2 linked regions of the Drosophila melanogaster genome follow. The gene in region 2 interacts genetically with the main gene of each other region. Each region holds a gene or a part of one and is shown on either strand. Other genes may lie near its edges.

Region 1 (9,535 bases), about 13 Mb from region 2:
AAAATTTGTGACAAGCATTGTTCATTTGTTTATTTTCGATAATATAATAATATAATGAATCTTTTTCTTTACAGGTTTAAAATGATTTCCGATTGATATAGTTTTTTCTCGCTGTGTCGTAGATCGTTAGATGCTTAGATCATGACTCTTTCTTTCTGCGCTTGCGCACGCGCTAAATGTCAAAAAAGTGCCCATGAAGCTCGGGAAGAATCAGCCGCCTGCTGTTCGCCGCCGCAGCTCCGCTTTCCGCCATGCCACGCCCCCCGCCCTCACCTGAAAGTGACACGCCCTCAGGCGGGCCGCCCACTTGGAACATGTCGAATCATTCATTCAACGCAACGAAATGTGGGCTGCGAGGTGTTGAAAGGCGAGAGGCGAAAACCGAAATACAAAATCCGAAATCTAAAAGGCATTTTGTGTGCATTTGTAATTTGTGGAGCTGCACACAGCATTGCGCTGTCATTATTTTCTGTAACATTTAGCAAAATCATTAATAATTGTTGCCGCCGCTGCAGCGACACAGATACGCACTTAAAAATTGTCAGACAACAGTGACTATGCCTTGGTGTTAACTTGATTAGCATTCGTATAAATTCGCATTCGCAGTTGCATCTTGGCCGCATTTGCATAGAATGCACATTTCGGGGACCCAATTATTCGGGGTAACTAAAAGTCTTCTGATCTTGATCGCCTGAGCTGTTAGATGGAATTCGAGGTGGCCCCAATTCCAATTCCCCTGGCTGAGATTTCAATTACCCTCGCATATTATGCAAACAAATAAATTCGAGCGATAAGGTTAAGCCGAAGAAATTATGAAAATATTTCCCAGAAAATGCGCAGACAAAACAAATTGCCGCGTAATCTCTGGGACCCTTGCTCTTGGAAGAAATAACAACTCCAGGTTGACAATGCACGGCCCGAATAAATCGAAATCATTTGGGAACTTGTCCTTCTTTATCGGCAAGTGCCGCCAAGTGGAATCAATCAAGCGGAGAACCATTTCCTTGGAGGCTCTCAGATCGTGTTTTTCATATTATTTCGATTCCGATTTCGAAGCGTGACAATATTTTGGCCACAATTCAAACGAACTGATCTCGAGGGTCTTCGGTGGGCAATTAATCATGTCGAGCTGGCCGATAAGTTCTGCTCGGTCGAGTGCAGTGAATTTCTGGGGGGAGAGTCCTCGAATCTCCAGTCTCATAACAGGTAGTACCCATCGACATCGATCTTTGTGTGAGGTAAGAGCTGAAACAGGGGCTTCCATAAATCCCGCAGATATCGCTGGCGGGAAAATCAATTACTCTACAAGGATGTGCGCCTCCAATTTGAATATTTATGGTTAACTGATCGGATCTCGACATAAAAGCGCCAAAATTGATACATTACAGGCTTTTTTTTTACGGGGATTTCGGTAAAAACGTGAGTAAAGAGGATATAAATATGTCATTTATAAAGAGAAGTAAATAGAGTTTAAAATGATTACAGAAGGATCTAAGGATGGTATATACTCATAGACAAGTCATTATTAAACAAAATTTAGTTTTTTGTGCATAAAAATCGAAAAAATTGTCCAAATTTGGAAAGTTATACCTCGTTGTGCTCAGATCTTTATCCTTTACAAACACAAAACAACTGCCATTAAAATGTGTAAAAAAAATTTTTTTGACCATTTTCGAAAATTTTGATGATGGTACCCCTTACAAAAAAGTCGAAAAATGGGTAAATTTTTTTTTTTTCAAAAACTCTTAAAAAGTGATTTGGGTTTTCTTCTTAGGTTGTCGGGTGTAAAAAACAGTGCTTCTTATAGCGATGTGTCTTATTTTGACTTAGTTATAACATAATAACTGAAAAACACGCATTTTCGTTGTACCCTTCAATTAATAATTTAATTTACAGTGCCATAGATATTCTAAAGCCCCTTAATCATAATATGCATATTTAAATCCCCAGAGCGCGCATATCTTCGTACTCAACCGCTTCATTCTAGGCCAAAAGCGTTATAAATTGGCTGGCATTTGTCAACCGGCGAACGGAGTCAAGTACGGGCTTGGAAATGTGTCTTTGGCATATCTCACGGATGCCAAACGTAAGACAAGCAGCTCGAGAGCAAACAAAAGCGCGAAGACAAACAAATTCGAATGTATCTGAGTATCTCGGCTTGTATCTGCAGACGTCTGCGGTGGCATTAATGGCAAATTTGCACGAAGTCAATAGCGAAAGCCGGGGAATACTACAGTCAATTATCGGTGGCGTCGAATATGGACGAATGTATCTGCGAGTGTAGATACTTTCGTATCTGACCATGTATGTTGATGTTTTTGTTTTTCCACCTGCGTGTAGCGTTGTTGTTGTTTTTTCCACTTACTGCCACCGTGTACGCAAAAGTGTCTCGCTCTCTCTTTCTAACCGCATGCCCCGTCCCGCTCACTCGTTGTATCTTGTATCTCGTGTTTCTCGCTCTTTTTGTCGACCGCCGATTGGCTGACTTTTGAGTCTGCGCCGCTATCCGGAGAGGCCACACCTCTAAAAACCCCCTTAGAAAACCACGTTTGCGTGTTATTTCAGATACTTTTGGCCCCCCTGCACCAACCATTTTACCCCCCCGCGCGCGGAAAACATAAACTTGTGGCTCCCTAATGGCCAAAAATAAGGAAACCAGGGGGATGAGTCGAAATGAAAATGGCTTTTATGTGTGGCGTGCGTTGGGGTAATTTTATGATTCAGGGAATTACACAGGGAAATGACAGTCCTCGTTCTTCTTTTGCTTTCCACCTGGAATATGTAGATACAGATACCTTTTAATTGTCGCTCTATTGATTTCCCCCAAAGAAAGCACATAAGCTGACTTAATTTATGCTTTAATTCTATTTAATTATGTTTTTTTTTTACCATCTAAAACTGCATGAGGTCTATGAAAGATTCGCGTGTTAGCTGGACAGTTTTTATTTTGTTTAGGCTCTATCTAAAATGTGTCAAACTTAATGAACGGTGTAGTAAAGCGGTTTTAATGGGGGAGGTTCTGTTCGGGGATTATGCTTTGTATGTTTTTGATTTATTACTCCTTAAAGGCTACCAATTTTATACCTTAAGTTATAAAACTTATAAAAAAAGAACGAGGTCCTTAAAAAACACTCTGTCGTATAAAAGTTCTTTACGGAAATCAATTAAATCAAATCGAAGCCATATATGTAGATTTTATTTATATAAACATTTAATTGTAAAGTTTTGTAAATTTAAATGATATTCTAATTGATCGGATTATAATAAAATTATTACTCTAAAATTAATAATTTTTATTTATTTGTTACTGAATACTCCATAAGGGACTTATAAACTTTAATTTCTAACCTCCTTGCCCTATTTCGAGATCTTTTCTGAAGCGTGGTTACTTACTTTTTCACCCATTACCACCTCTACCGCAGGTCAAATCTAAAATGGCGAATCCCAGGCGGTTCATTCAATTAAAATCGATCGCAGCTCTTATACTCCAGTGTCTCCAATAAGATCAGCTGGCTGGAACACACCTGAGAGTCGGATATAAGAGCGACAGATCACCTGGGCCGAAAGTGGCGGAGAGCGGACCAGGTGAGCGGAACACCTGGTGAGCAGAGTATCCGACAGATACAGATACGAAAGGTGAGCGAGAGCGGCACAGAGCGGGCAGTGGAGGGTTAAGCGGCGGGGGTTAAGCGGCAGCTAGCTGACTGGCTTTCTGACTTTCGAGGCTCGTCTGCGCGAAACCCGCGCTCGTCCAATCAGTACGAACTCGGTTCCCGCCAGCGCAGTAACAACTTCGCCGACGAGCGCGTGAATCGCCTAAATATCCACTCAAGCAACACAGAAAATAAGTTATAAATTGAAACCCGCAAGTGCCTTACCATTATCTGTAGAATATTGCAACGAATTTACTGCCCATATATACAGCATATCGAGAGGAACAAGAGATACAGATACAAATAAGATACAAGCCGAAGCTCATCATCGAATGCGGAAGTGAGCGAAAGCCGCCGGCTTTTATTAATTTTGTGCAATTAACGCAAAGGATACAAAAAATCAGTGTGCAAACAAAGGGAAACAAAAGAGTGAGAGAAAGTGATCGAGTGCCTTCATTTGCATATCCTTGCAAATTAAATTAATTTAACAACAAATAACAAAAAGCAATTGAATAATAAGAAAACGTGCCGCAATGTCTGTTGCTCGCAGTGCCATGTCAAGCTGAAGTATTCAATAATAATCCCGAAATTCGATTCCGAATACGATTTTGAATTCGCATCCGAAATTGATTAATCACTGTGCCTTGAACTGATCGTGACTCGTGAGTCAGAGCAGCGCCATTTAATTGTCCGCAAACACAAAAGTACGGAGCCCAGTTGCAAATTGTCGGGTTAAATATTGGTAGAATATCGGTAGAATCGGTGGCATCCCCTCCCCCGCCAGGCATTCCACCTGGCCAACAGTCGAGTGAAGGAGCTTCATGCGAAAAACGCCGCTTAAATGCATACGGATATCATAATTGGTGATCAGTTTGCCGCCAACAATAACTACTGGGTGATGCAGGTGAGTTCGGTTACTAGAATATTTAATTAAAGGCTACTTAAGACATTCTGGAAATTCCAGCGAAAAGATCTAGAAAACTTGATCTTTTGTAATAAATAAAATCCAAATAGCAGATAGATATTTTCTATCAAATAAAAGGCAGTGTCGAAATTTCAAATATCAATCACTTAAATAAAATTCCCTAGCTTGATCAACATTCAAATGGAAATATATCCAACTATTATAGAAAGAATATGTGTGTCTTTAAACAAGGATGAACACATCACAAAGCGTTTAAATATCGTAATCATTAGCCAATTAATTTGCAATCACAGGTTCCTTGTCAAACCCAATTCAAATGAAACAAAAAAAACTTTACGTACCAAAGTGCGCTAATTAAGCCGCTTTTATTGCAAATTAATTTTAGCCAAATTTGACAACAATAAGCGAGCACACAACAAATACGAGAGCTTACAAATCACATGAAAAACACCTTAAGCCCAACAACTTCCGCTTATCAAAATGCAAATCTTGAACAGACCAGATTTTTGACGATTTTTGTACGAATTCGAGTACGAGTATAAATAAAACGCACGCGGCAATCACAAATTACAATAAAACCGAAAACAAATTAGCTCAATTATCGATTGAGATGAGGAGTTGGACTGCGTAATTTTTGAGTGTTCTCGAGTGTGTTTCGACAGAGATTAACACCTTGGATTTCCTCAGGTGTTCCTTCGGTTCCTTCGCCGTTTTTTCCCCATTTTTGTTTTTTTTTGTTTGTCAAATGCGACAATCGATTTGTAAATCTTGTTATCACCTGCAGGAACTCTCGGCTCTTAAAGCCGTTCTCAAATACACGGTCGGTTAACTCTTTTGAACTCATCCACACTTTTCACGCGTTCCGCAGGGAAACTGTGGCGATCACAGTCCATCCGATGCGATCCGATCCGCACTCCTCCTTTCGATATCCATGTTTGCAGCCTGTTTTTCTGTTTTCCCGGCTTGTTTGCCTCAATTGTTTGACTCGCGCTTACTTGCGAAGCTCTGGGTAAATATTTGCCCCCAACACTTTGCCAATGTGCCAAGTGTCCCCAACTGACTGACGAGATGGTTTCAACACGGTTCCTACCCGGGAATATATACATATAGCTATAGCCTGATCATCGACTGGGTGGCATTGATCGATGGTATTGGATAGTATGAGAACATAATTACAAACGGCAAGGGTACATACGTATGAGTAATATGTCTTTCCGAGGAACTGTTTATCCTGTTTATTGCTGAATGTCAATAAATACTTTAGAGTGAAACTGATCGCACAGATTGTGGTTATTAAAGTTATCGAGTATAGGTTAAGTTTTTAGGCCATACTCATTTACCATGAATTAATTTTTCAAAGTATACGTACTTTTTTATTACCAATAATCTTGAGCCTTGATTATCTTTCTTATAAATTTTATGATGTGTAGGCTATCTTCCTAAATTTTCCTATCATTCCCTGTCTTATTGCCTTATCTCAACATTTTACAACCGTTGGTCTACCAGCCTTACGCCCATTGATAAGTTCAGTTTCCCGCAGAAAGTCTAGCCTTGCTCAACAAAAGCTCTGTGTTAAGTGCCTCCAGCTGCCCTCCTCAGAACACTTCCTTCCCCCAGAGATAAGGATCGAACTCCGGGAACCTCAGCGAAACAGATATACATACATAGGTACAGACGAAGAAACCCGAGACATTGGCGATTCCGGGTAAAAAGGCATCGTAAAAGAGCTGGGTGTTCGACAAGTGTGTTGTGCTTGTTCCGCCTGTCACCATCAATAGCTGCACTAATTAGGCATGTGTTGTCAAATATTTACACACAGTCGCAAAAGTACAAAGCGCTGTTGGCCCCCTTTGGCCCCCTGGAAGCCCCATCCACTTCCTCCAGATAGTGTAAGCTTTTGGGTGAGGGGGTGGACTTCTTCCGTTTTCCACTGATTTAACAGATATGATGAGATATGGTAAGGTAATTCCCACGACTCACGGCGATTATGACGAAAAACTTTCGTATTTTATGGCTCTAAACGAAATTAGTTTACGATCGCTTACAGGGAATTAGCTGCACTGAGTATAGAAGTATCCAAGTATCCGAGTATCTGCGTATCGAATACATTCAGTGAATAATGGAAGTAATCCAGCACGTAGCCAGGCGGTTATAGCGCCGACTTTTGCGGCTCTGATTAATGACCCTGAACCATTGTGCTTCAATCGTAAATAATTAAATATAGATAAAAATCAGATAACTCTAAGTTTGAGCTTTTGAAAAAAAAAAGGGGGGGGGGGGGTGTTTAAACTAAACGGGCCGAAGAATTATGCAAATTATTTAAGACTAAACGAAACTTGCAGTCGCTCCAGTGATTTGTCAATAAAAGACATTTACAAATATACCAAATGAAACGTATATGAGTTTATAGCCTATCTGAATCAATAGGAAATATTTGCATTTGCGAATCGGAATCAGACAAAGGCGGCCGCCTTCAAAGAATCAAAATCGGTGCTGAAATTTAACAAGAATTACGGCAATTGCCTTGCCGTCTGCTCATCTGAGCCATAAAAAATCGTGGCAAATTAGATAGAAAACAGCCGAATAATGGCCCGATAAGATAATGATATCCCTAGTAGACTTTCCATTTCGAAATGAGTTCAAGATTGGATCGAGCCCCCGAACAAAACACCGATTGCCAATTACACACCGTCCAGACAATGGCAGTTAAATAATAACTGGAGTAAGCCATGAAAACAGTTGGCCAAAATCTCATTAAGGCCCAGTGGGAGATCGCCCATCAATCGATCGATTCCTATGCAAATCTCGCCAGTAATTTCTGTTTCCACCATAACAATGCCAAGTTTTTAGTGTCTAGTCTTTGCCATATTTTGATTTCGCCAATTCATGCAAATGAAAACGAAAACTAGCACACAAATGCGCCAAAAATGGCACAAAAAAGTCGGGAAAAAAATATCATTCATTTGCAGCCAGTTTTGATTGATTTGCCGCCTGGCCAAGTTGGAGGTCAATCGTGCCGCGAGAATCAATCACTCACAAGCCACTGGGTGCACATAGAATTTGCGGTTTTCTGGATAGCCTATTATTGAGAATTAAGGAATTATAGTTGAAAGAAGAACTGTATTATCCTTTAGCAGTATTAAGCCACCATCTTTAATTTCTTCGCATACCCCTTGTGCTGAGCTTTAAAAACCAATGTCTGAAATCATAATATCGACTATCCATCAATTTGGATTTTTTAAAAGCTTTTCAATAGAATCCTCACTATTGATTTAACCCAATCCAAGCTCTTGTTCCCTTCTTTCTTACCCAATGTTTATGGCACGTGAGTGAGCATTTATTGACCAAAGGCAACCCTTTTGACCGGCTAATTTCAACATTTTTTTTCGACTCAGAAAAAGTATCACCTTAAATCTTTGATAGATTGCCGGGCCTAAGGCCCAAAAAAAAAAGGAGAAACATGTTTGACTTCGGCGAATTATTGCGAAAACTAGTTTGCCCAAAAATAAGAAAAAAGGCTTTTATGCTCACAGAGGTGCTAAAACCCCCACAACATTGAAGCGCAATTCGTTTCAGGTTTGATGGGATCAAAAGCTCAGCGGATGACAGCGAATGAAATGAAATAAATTTCATTTAAAGCTCCGATGCCGCATTAAGATCAATTATTTGATTATGAAACAAAATCTGCGTGAAATCTTCGAATAGTTGACCCAAGCCGATGTCAAATGCCGGCGCTGTAAATTTCAATTTCGCATCGAATTCATTTCCACAACAAGGTGAGAAAAAAAAAACACATTTGATCGGGGTGCGATGATAAAGCCATCATCGGATGGTCTCCATCGCTCGATCAGCTCGATCGGTCGTAAGGCCCCAACAAAGGTTCAAACAAACCAGTCCGACACGAAATCAAATTGCAAATTTAAATTGAAATCGAAATCACAGCACATTTCGTAAGGCACTATTGTATATAATCCGTGGACCGATGGGCGATATCCCATCCCAGCCGCATATGCGTCTAAAAACACTTCAATTCACGTTATGTGCTTACTTAACTTTTATCACCCGGCCGAGATTTCTATGATCGATCGCTAATTGCCAGAGTACAGAAAGGTACTCGAAATGGCTATAAGTCAAGAAGAAGCGCCAGGTACGAGTGGACAGCATTGAGATCTCTTCTGGGCAATTGACCCACTAATAGGGCCTGTCAATAATCGCCTTTTGGCCATTGAACTTTCGACTCTGGCCCCTACTACAAATTTCCTGAATAACACAAATTAATTGCCCGCAAATCCTGTGTCCGACCGATCAGCGTTTATTCAACAGTTTCATTTCAAATATTTATTGATTCCACACAATCTACATGTTGCGCATGCCAGTTGAGTTCGGCCACCAATGGGTTAAGAGCCCCTCGACATGGCTGAACGCTTTTCCAGCTCTGATCGGAAATTGGTTTTGTAGGCCCTGGGTTTCAGGGCACTTCCTGTGCTATGTTATTTGTAGTGTTCTGTTCATAGCTTCACTGGCCACCCCAATATATCCGAATATTATGATTGCCTAGCGTGAAATTGTGAGAATATTTCCAAAACGACGCGTCAGCGACATCAATTAATGTTTTATTATGCATTCCTGTTTGCCCCTCAAGGATATCCAGGGATATTCAATATCCCGGTGATATGTAATAGCTGTGCGAATGGTTTTATGCAAATGAGAGTGAGCGGGGGTGGAAAACTAGTATGTATAGTGGGGAAACTACATTTAGAAGACTCTAGGGAAGTGTCAAAATGTGGTGGAAAACTGCTGTTTTCCTTCCTTTGAAAGCAGAATAAACGTTGGTGTTTAACTGCCGTAAATGAAGAGATGACAAAACCTCTAAATTCTCTGTGGCAGAATTTTCACGTAAACAAATTCAATATCACATACAGACTCTATTAAATCCGCTTTCAAATAACGATCGCTA
Region 2 (9,844 bases):
GTCAGTCGAAGCTGGGAAAATTCATTAGTATTAAGCGCGCTATGCTATGGAGACAGAGAAACATACAAGAAACTAAATCTGGAGCGGATCGGACAATAGCCGTCTGGTATCGGATAATGCTGTACTTTCTGGTTAGCAAATAAGTTATTTATCCCTGTGATATGTTTAATAAAGCGAATTGTATAATTGTACACGAAGGGTTGATGAATCACACCTGTCGTGGGTTCAATGACTTGGGCTTTCAGCTATGACCGCTGCCTAGCAACCAGCGACTAAGGTATTCGGGCAAGAAAACACCGATTAAGTGTTTAAGTAAATTAATAAATAATAACTATGTCTGGCGGTACTCAAAAACCACTAGCACAATTAAGGACATCAATTACGCATTGAAAGATTGAGCTTCTAAAATTGCTAGCTACTGTATAACTATGACAACACCTCACTGGGCCAAATAAGAGAAATACGGCGTTAGCGACGTGCCCGGACTTACCTCCACCTCCTCCAGAGTTTGGGTCCAGGTGTAGTTTTCCAAGGTGCAGCCATTGCCTGCATTCGGCATCAGCTTACCCAGCTCACTCTTATCGGATTCATCGTCCACTTTCTCGATGGGCTTGGAGATGCCATCTCGGTTCGAGGCAGATGGCTCTCCACCAGCGCTATCCAGCAGCTGCTGGCGTTTTCTGTATGGGATTTAGACATTATAAGATATACGAATGCTAATGATACAACATATTTAGGATAAGAATTGAGCTCGGTTTCAAACTCTTTCTTTGAAAAGGAATGCTAATTTGCCATTTTGCAGGAATTTCACAGCTTTTGCCGAGTTACCTGGGTATTTTGGTAAATGATCTCATTACGCTTGCACTTACTTGGTCTCCTCCTCCTTGATAATGGCCGCTGCCTCTTCGTCAGTGATATCACATATTTTATTATCGTCAATCTCCTGCTTGCGGGCCTTCCTTTCGGCTCTCTCCTTCTCCGCCTTTAGGCGCTGGGAAGCTTCGCGAGCCTTTATCTTTTCGTAGTTTTCAGTTACGGCCAGCTTGGACTCCTTGTTGAAGACATCCAGCAGCAGCTTCTCCCACTCCGTCTGCTTGGCTCCCGTGAAGAAGTCGGTCTTGCGGCGCAGAAAACTGGCCAAAGTGCCAAGGAACTTAGATATAAAACACAAACAACATGATTAAACAAAATTGAAACAAAGAAGTTGCGTTCTTTGTTATTGTTTTACCTCGGGCACGCCACCGTGATGCTTCTCGGCCACGGCCAGCAGTATGTTGTCAAACTTTCCCTCCTCAGCAGCCATGGTTTGGAGTATTTGTACTGGTTTTGAATTAGATTTCGTTTGTTTCTGGACGCTTCGATTCGTTTGGTTTTTTTATCTGAAGTTTAGCTGCCGACCCGGCACATGTAGAAATAATGTGACCTGTCGTCGAACGTCAAAAAATACCCACATACTAGAATATACCGAGTCGTCACATGGCGTCCAGCATTTGAAAGTCAGCAGAATTGGTCATAACGGTACTCGAGTTTTGTGTATTGCAGCTTTTGACTGCTTGGATTTTAAAAATAATATTTTAGTACCACATATAATTTAGTTGTATGCAATAACAATAATGGTTTTTCCTGCATTGGAAACTTTTAGTTATATCCCTTCACTCTTCTGGAAAATTTTTTTAATATTTACTTAATTTGCCATACCTTTTTGAACAAGTAACAATTTTTTTATATTGTGTTTGTATGAATTTGTTCGTGCTGTGATTGGGAACAAAAAAGTGGTATGAACTTGGATACTGGAAAGCGCATATCCAATTTAAATGAGTCTCAGTGAGATTTTGACAGTGAGCGCATCATGTAACGGTACTTTGCGACAAACTATGTGTAAATAATTGAAGCAACCATTTACTGAAAATATAAGAATTTATTTCTTTATCTAGTAAAACTTGGTCTTTAATAATTTAAATTTAATTTTAAGGTTAAGAGATTACATGGAAGATAGAGTTCGAAAAACAACATATGTTGTTGTTGTTTTTGCTCTCACGCAACTTTTCGCTCTCCGCTTACTTTTGCGCTCTCTTCGGTTTCGGTTTGGGGATAGTTGCGATTTTCGTCCTATTCTTCCATTCTCATTCGGTCTTTTGAAATAAACGCACGTATTCTGAACACGCGGAAAACCAGAAAATATTCTAAAGCCAAATCGAAGTGGAAGTGCTATAAGCAAGTGGAAAAGTGAAAAACTTCAAAGTTCTTGGTTTTGTGTGGACGCGCAAAATACGAAAATCAGTGCATAGTAAATCGTTTTATCAGAAAAGTTGAAAGTAATTACGAAAAATATGCGTGGAATTCCTTTTTGTGTCGCTTAAAAATTGTGATGTGCAAATGACTTAACACACATACATACATACGTGCTTACCTAGCACGGCTAATATTCACCATGGGGTATAGGATGGGGAATATGAAAAACGCTGTAATGAAGAAGAGAATAGTTAAGGGTTCCGGGTGCCCCTTTTTCTTACCACAGCTTTTCCTGATTCCCGTAGGAGTTCCTCTAGAAAATCAATAAATTTTACATGGAGCACAGAGAAACACAGACACACACGTTGAAAAGAGGGAGTGTGGGAAGAGGAAGCATTGCAGAGAGCAGGAAGAAGAAGGAGAGCAGAAGCTCCCGCACCAGAACTTACAGTGGGGGACATAAAACTAGCAGCTGTTTGATTCGCTAATTTATGGGTACTTAAAATGATAGATTTATTGGAAAGGAAGGGTTTTCTTAAGTGCTAGTTACGTGTTGTTTGAAACATTAAGTGATTCATTAATTTTTAACCAGTAATCTTTTCCTTAAGCATATATTATATACGTTATTTATGATGTGCGTCATTAAAATTTATTAAATATTATACTTTTAAAAAGTCATAATAAAATAAAAATTGCGTAAGTGCGCAGTTTTAATTTTGATGTTTCTCAAAATCAATTAAAAATAGGTATTTGTAATGTAAATAAAAAATAAAGTAATCATAAAATAAGTAATACCACAAACGGGCTGCGATATAACTGATCGGACCTATGGCAATGGCCTGCACTGTTATTTACCGCCCTGCCGCAAGCTTCTCCTTCTTGTACTTGTTTTTTGCCGCTACGAAGTTCTGTTCTTGATGTTGCCCCCACCCCTTTCATCTTCTTCTTGCTCGTTGACTATTTTATGGGCTGTGCTGTGCTTCATTCGTGAATCTTGTTTCGCTATTTACCGCCCCTTCCCCTTGTACTGTGATGCAGACAGCTGCTCTGCTCTCCCGCTCGCTCCGCATCAAGGTCAGAGTAAGGTTAGCTCCGTTCTCCTCTGCTTCAAAGGGCCATGGCAGTGATTTCTTCCTCGCCGCTCCACCGACCGCCCTCGCCCATCCCTTTATCCGATCTTTTTTCATTTCCCTCTCGTCGAGAACAGTGACTGCTGAAAGTCTGTGGCTACCGAATGCCGCAAATCGCTCTGCCTAATTGCCGCATCAAAATTAATGACAGCCACTGTGTATCTGTATTTGTGCTTGAGTGTCCTTTATTACACTGAGAAAATATATTGACACCTTAAAAATGTGCTACAGATTATTATTAAACAAAAATCCATTTCACTTATGTATATTTACTGCATCTTAAGGTGAATAAAGTTCTTATTGTCACATTGTATTTTATATTCATGAAAAAAACATTTTTTTCCACCTTCTATTTATAAACGTGGGCGTCGAAGTTTGCCTTACTACGTCACTGCCCCTTGACATTTAAACTTTCTCTCTGCGTGGGTGAGTGTGGGGTGGCAGCTTCCCCAAGTACGCTCTCTCAGCCCGGTTTGCTCTCCTGACATAACGGTTATGCAATCAACGCCGCATTTTGCTATTTTCCCGCACGAAGAAAGGCTTTCACAATTCAATTGCACTTGAATTTAAAGGATAACGTCGTTCTTGCCTTTGTTTTATTACCGCTTAATGTGTGTGTTTTTATGTGCCAGCACTTAAAAAGGATTGTGCAAAACTGAGTGAGCAAATAAAAAGCGTAGACAATGGACTTAAGAAAAGATTGTCAGAGATTTTACCGGAAGTGTGAACCAAGTCTCCTTTTTGCTGCTGAGTGCGTTTAGAGCCCTTTTCGGGCTTATCGCAGATTTGTGAAGATGAAAATGAAAGCTAAACACATTCGTATTCTTATTGAAAAGTCAGCAAAGTAGTCATGCCCCCAAAGCAAATTCCGCATCCCCTTTGAAATTAAATATGTTTTGCGGTCTCGCTTGAAATATGGTGGCGCCGCAAGTTTGGTTTATCGGTTCAGTGAGTTCCCGAACGGAAAACTTTTCAATTGCGTCGCAGCCTCTAAATTAAATCAGTTATATTGATGGTTATTGCCTCCACCAATTATGATAGCATTATATTAATCAGATTACTCTTGATGCCATAACCTTAAAAAATAAAAGTTTTTAAAACCAGTAAAATTTTATTTGTGTCCTAAAAAATACCTTTTCTGTTGTCATTCATTGACTAATTCACTGATCAGCAGTTAAATGTGCAATAGAAACTGCAAGGAACATGTTTTAAAGCTTTTCGAAAACGTCAAAATGTTTTTGACATAAATGTTTGCTTGTTATGTTTTTAAATGAGTTTATTTATTATTAGATTTAAAGCGTCTGTCCAACAATATGCTGAAATCCGTCACAAATTGATTAAGCAAATTCTTGTGAGTATATTTGGCTTCTGTGCTCCTGACTTTTAAACAATTGCGGTTAGAACTGATTGATATTTCATAGGGAGGATTACGTATGCGTAGTTGAGTGGATTGCTGATAAGCACGGTCCCGAGTTCTCTTATGACAAATAGCAAACAGAAGCGACCAGAACTCAATACCCGGTACCCCATCGCTCCCCGCTGCAATTTTCTTGGTTTCCATTTACATAACTCTGTTTATCTAGACATTGCGAGATTGGGGGGGATTGCGAGGGCCTGGCAACGTACCCAAAATGTGCAATCCCATCCCAACCAGATACGGTCATTGGAAACTAATGTAAATTGCGATGTTGCTTGTTTATTGACTGCAAACGATAGTCCCGTCGCAATTAGCGGGCGGTGGTGGGGAGCGGACCGCACCTATGCCATAAATAGCAAGCAGCTGCGATAAATTTCTCCGGACAGACAGAAATTTATGGGGAAAATAAACTGAGCAATTGGAAACTTTTCAATGCTAAATCATAAGAATAAGTGCTTGGTACGTAGTAAAGTCCAAATATTTCTGAAACCATATTTAAAGAAGTTAATTTAATTAAATTTCTTAATATCTGAAATCTAAACATGAATGCCTTTGATGTTTGACAGTAGTGCACGATTATAGAAGCCATGATAATTGACCATCGATTAGCACTTATCATATACAAATTTAACTTGGACCTTCAATGGTTCAAGTTTAATTAGTTACCAAAATATTTTACTTTAGTGTAAGAACGGCCCTTCGATCTATTGATCTTTATCATTTAATCAAAGCTAAAGTGAGTTATCAGCAAATTGACTGATTTTTTGTTATTATAAGGGCTTTCGAACAAGGCTAATTATCAGCTCTAGAGCCCGCTGTGAGTGTAGATAAAAAAGTTCTCATAATTGTAATTACTAATACGTAATTCCGAGGCGCAATAAAAAAACCAACCGCAAGATGCACAGTTGATTCTCTAATTAAACACGCGACCGTCCGATAATGAAAACCAATTGTTGCTATTTTTAAAGCAATTGAGGTGATCCCTTTCGGAATCGGAATCCGCGGCGAAAACTTTGCACAGCTGACTCAAGTGCACAGGTTGGAGGCCATAAAACAACGGGGGTACCAATGAAGTTGGCCCCGACTGCCTGATAAGCGCCCAGCCGGGTCAGATAATGCGCATTTATAGCGGCAATATAACCACCCCCCCAATGGATCCCCCTTTTCAATTTTGGCCTAGGCTATATCGTAAATCGCTGGAAAATAAAGTTTATAGCGTCGGCGGCTACCGGAGTTGGGTTTTCCACCGTTTTTTTTAGATTGTGCAACGGAAGAAAGTTCTTGGGTGGGGCTAATGGTCTTGTCATTGTGTGGGATCCTGGCACCCATTAGGACCGCCTATTGTAATTATCCCACGATAATGGTCCCGTGGCATGCCCCATCACTTAGCGTACTAACCACACGCAACGTTGTCGACGCATAATTTATTTGTTTATTTCTGCGTTCGGGGTTATTGAAACTTGTTGCCTGGTCTTGTTTACATCATAAGTATATAATATCTGCGTTGAATATCTATAGATGTGCGTACTTATCGTAATGCACGGATATCTCTCCTATGTTTGTGGATGTGGGCCACACGCGGCTGTCGCATTTTGGGCTTTGAGCCAATGGAACGCAATGGTGCTGGCTATATCTATGGCTACATATACATATCTCTCCGTATCATCCGGTCGCTCCTCCATTGTGCGATCTATTCTCATCTGGTAGTCTGCAGACTTGTTTGCTATATTCAATTTCGTTTCTTTATTTTTTCTCCTCTTTCCTTCTGTCGAAATGGAAGTGAAAATATTTACGTTGACTTGGGATCGGACTTAAGAACAGGGTGTCTCCACCAATTAGTAGGAAATAATTAAACGAACTAACTGCTCTCTTAGTCGGATGAAATGTCAAAACAATTTGCAAATGCCATTCGACACGTGATCGATAATTCCGCAGGAATTTATGTTCCGACCGTCAGCGGGCTGGTTCTTATGGATACATATATATATCCGTTTTGCCAGCATTATTGTGAACTCTGAAAATAGCCATCTATTGGTCTGACGCACTCGGAAAGTTATGCAATTAGAACGGCGGAAATTTGAAGGAAATTAAATAGGAATATTGATAAGTTGTCAATCCGGATGACAGATATGAAGTTGTGAAAAGGTTTTTAAACCTCTCATAGATTTGAAATCCATTTTTATCCTTGCGTCATGATCAACACATAGTGATTAAGCATTTGTTTTTGCGGTTTTCCATGAGTATCTAATATATCTTTGATGGCTTAACGTGGCTCTTTTGCATATTTTATCTCTTCTATAATAAGAACATACGACTTTACTACAACCTTTGCTTCTGCACACACAAACGCAGATATGCGTTTTATTCAAGTCATGATTATCAAGTTTTATTGACTCTCTGCGGTGCCATAATAAGCTACCAAAATTTCTTCTTTCGTATATCGTACTTTTTGCGACTCGGTTTTGATGTTATCTTAGGTCAAAACTTTTCCACTGCACCCAAATCAGATAAATCAGATCATAGATAGATATAGATATTGAGACACGTTGAGGGCTATTGTCCCATCTACGTCACATTTTTGCGTTTCACAATTCTTATCACTCCGTGATTGTATTACGCCTGCAGCCAGAAATCGAACATGTGTATATTTATAGACCATTCCCCGCTATCACGCATGCAAATCGTGAATAACGCCTTGTGGCATGGCTCCCCCCAATGGAACGCCGTAATCTCTGCGCTGGGTTGGGTCCCATACCCATTGGAATCGGAAAGGAAAAAACCTTCCCAAACCCCAAAACCCCCAAGTGAAGTTCACTGTGCCATTAGGCTTTTCGTGCTAGTGCCGTGAATGAGTCTTATCTGCTGTATGAAATCGCAGGGGTGGACACGGGCGAGCGGTATGCCAAAGTTTATTAACTTATAAAAAAGAAAATAAAACATAGTGAATGAGAATTTCGACTTCCTCTTTCCCTTCAGGCGCAGACACTCGGCTGGCACATGCTAAACGCCTGATACCAAAGCGAAATAAAAAGAAAAGATCTAAGAAACACAAGAAGTTCGGATGAAGATGCTAATCGAAATTGTTAATACCCCTTGTGCATAATATAGATATTGTTAAAAAAAAAAAGCTGCACATTCCATTATAAAGTAACTTTTTCCAATTTAACCTATTCTTTCTTATGAATCAACTAGTTTATATCAATGAACCCTTTTGTTCATATATCTAAATTAAATACTGAATAATTAAGAATCAACAATCAACGCATGATCACATATACCCACCGTACTCTGTAAGCAGGTAGATTCTTCGCAATAGAGAATGTTATCTCGCCTGACAAATTTTCGGCACTTATCTTGGAGGTGCAGCCGGGAACCGGTTCCGTACCCCCCATAATATGGCCGGCTCCTCTTTAAATGCCCCAAGTGGCGAGACGGGAGAATGTGTCACCCGAATGGTTCGCCGAAGATTGCGATGTGACGTTGTAGCCCCGGCCAGATAATTCCGATCGCTCTCTGAGACTTTGAACTTGCCTATAATTCATGCGACTCTTGATTCAGTCGCCGCCTCTAGAGCACAATAGAAAGTCTTTGATACGATGGGAAACGATTTCTTATAGAGCAAGGGAACCGAATCCATGTACTTGGAACTAATCTAGCACTTCTGTTTTTTTTTTTTTTTTTTTTTTTTGTAGACACTTGGGCTTTTGATTGATAACTTTATGTGGGACTAATTAAACGAATGCCACTAAATTATGTACTATTTTGGGAAGAAGGTATTTGCTAAAAATTTAATCAAGCGCAACAAGCAGTGGAAAATTTTGAAAATGAGTTCGGGACCAACAATTCTTCCTATGGAGAATCTATTTATATCGTCGCTCAAAAAGAGCAAAAAGTGTTTCGAACAAATGCGTATTTTCAAATGCATTTCTCTGGCCGAAAGTTGAAAGACCCCATAGAGAGATATGTAAATTATATTATTGTGCCTTGTGCGACAATTAATAATTGTCGAGCTGATCTGTCAAAGATCTTGGAATTTAACACAAAATATCTAAAATTATAATCCTTTAACAACAGCTAGCTATCGGTATTTTGCTGAAAAACAAAACTCATTCGGTTGTTTGTTTTGCATATTTGAAATTGCTTTGCTCAAACGAATTTATTGCAAATCACATTTAAAAGCATTTTGTTATTGTCATGCATGTCCACTGTGACGCCGTATAAATCATTTCGCCATTGCATTTGATAACGTTTAACGATTATAGACCGCTGCCGTTCCTAGTTCGATAAAAAAAGTGTAAATATGGGGCGATTTTGTTGCATTACGTACATGCGCCCATTCAAGGTATTCAAGGTTCCACTTCTGGATGCAATGATTGTTCAACCACACTGTCAATCAATTGCACGATCTATCATCGATCGTCGAACTGTCTATTGGGGAGCAATTTAGCAAGCCCATTCAACTGAAAAGGTGCTTAGAAAACTAAAGGGTAAACAAAGCTCTGGAGAATGCGAACAACTACAGCTATTCGTTTGTGAGAAGGAAAAAAATGCCGCTAAAATACGCAATAAAAACAAAATTACTCAAGAAGATATAAGTAATATATTTTAAAAAGTAAAATATAAAAATAGCAATTCTCATGTTTTTAATTACTGGAACTCTCCTGTAAATACTTTTCTGATAAGCACAATTGCATTACATGATATTGATTCAGAATTGAATCAGGCCTCTGATTGCGTGCGCAACTCGGGAGAGAGAGGGAGATACTATATAGTCGAGCGATCGTGGGGACGAGTGCTCCCCACCTTTTCGAGGAGAGAGTCCGATCGCGATCTTGGGGGCTGTGGGGCTCTACGCTGCTGCGCTGCTCGAACGTCGCTCATTCGCTTGTGAGCAGCCGTCAGTGTCGCGTGTGCCAGCAACGGGATAAAATAGAAATAGTTACCTAAAATATCTAGCAGTGCATAAATGTATGTGTGTGTGTGTGTTTGAAAATAGTGTAAAACGAATGGCGATACAAATAGCTGAGCAACGTGCAAAAATCAGTTTCAAGTGCAACAGCGCTAC

Evidence for each region.
Region 1: of nudC (region 2) and dar1, changing one suppresses a phenotype caused by changing the other (phenotypic suppression), as found in Drosophila melanogaster (one study listed by BioGRID).

The regions. Positions count from the first base shown.
Region 1 is NT_037436.4:3,622,588-3,632,122, forward strand, and holds the start of dar1 (dendritic arbor reduction 1), read left to right. Parts: upstream 1-3,764; 5' UTR 3,765-4,494; coding exon 4,495-4,557; intron 4,558-9,535. UniProt on the Drosophila melanogaster protein: Transcriptional regulator which promotes dendrite growth by suppressing, either directly or indirectly, the expression of the microtubule-severing protein spas.
Region 2 is NT_037436.4:16,800,004-16,809,847, reverse strand, and holds the start of nudC (nudC), read right to left. Parts: upstream 4,855-9,844; 5' UTR 4,496-4,854; intron 2,316-4,495; exon of another isoform or gene 2,117-2,315; intron 1,455-2,116; 5' UTR 1,304-1,454; coding exon 1,229-1,303; intron 1,154-1,228; coding exon 870-1,153; intron 681-869; coding exon 491-680; intron 191-490; exon of another isoform or gene 1-190. UniProt on the Drosophila melanogaster protein: Chaperone protein with functions in nuclear localization and cytoplasmic mRNA trafficking.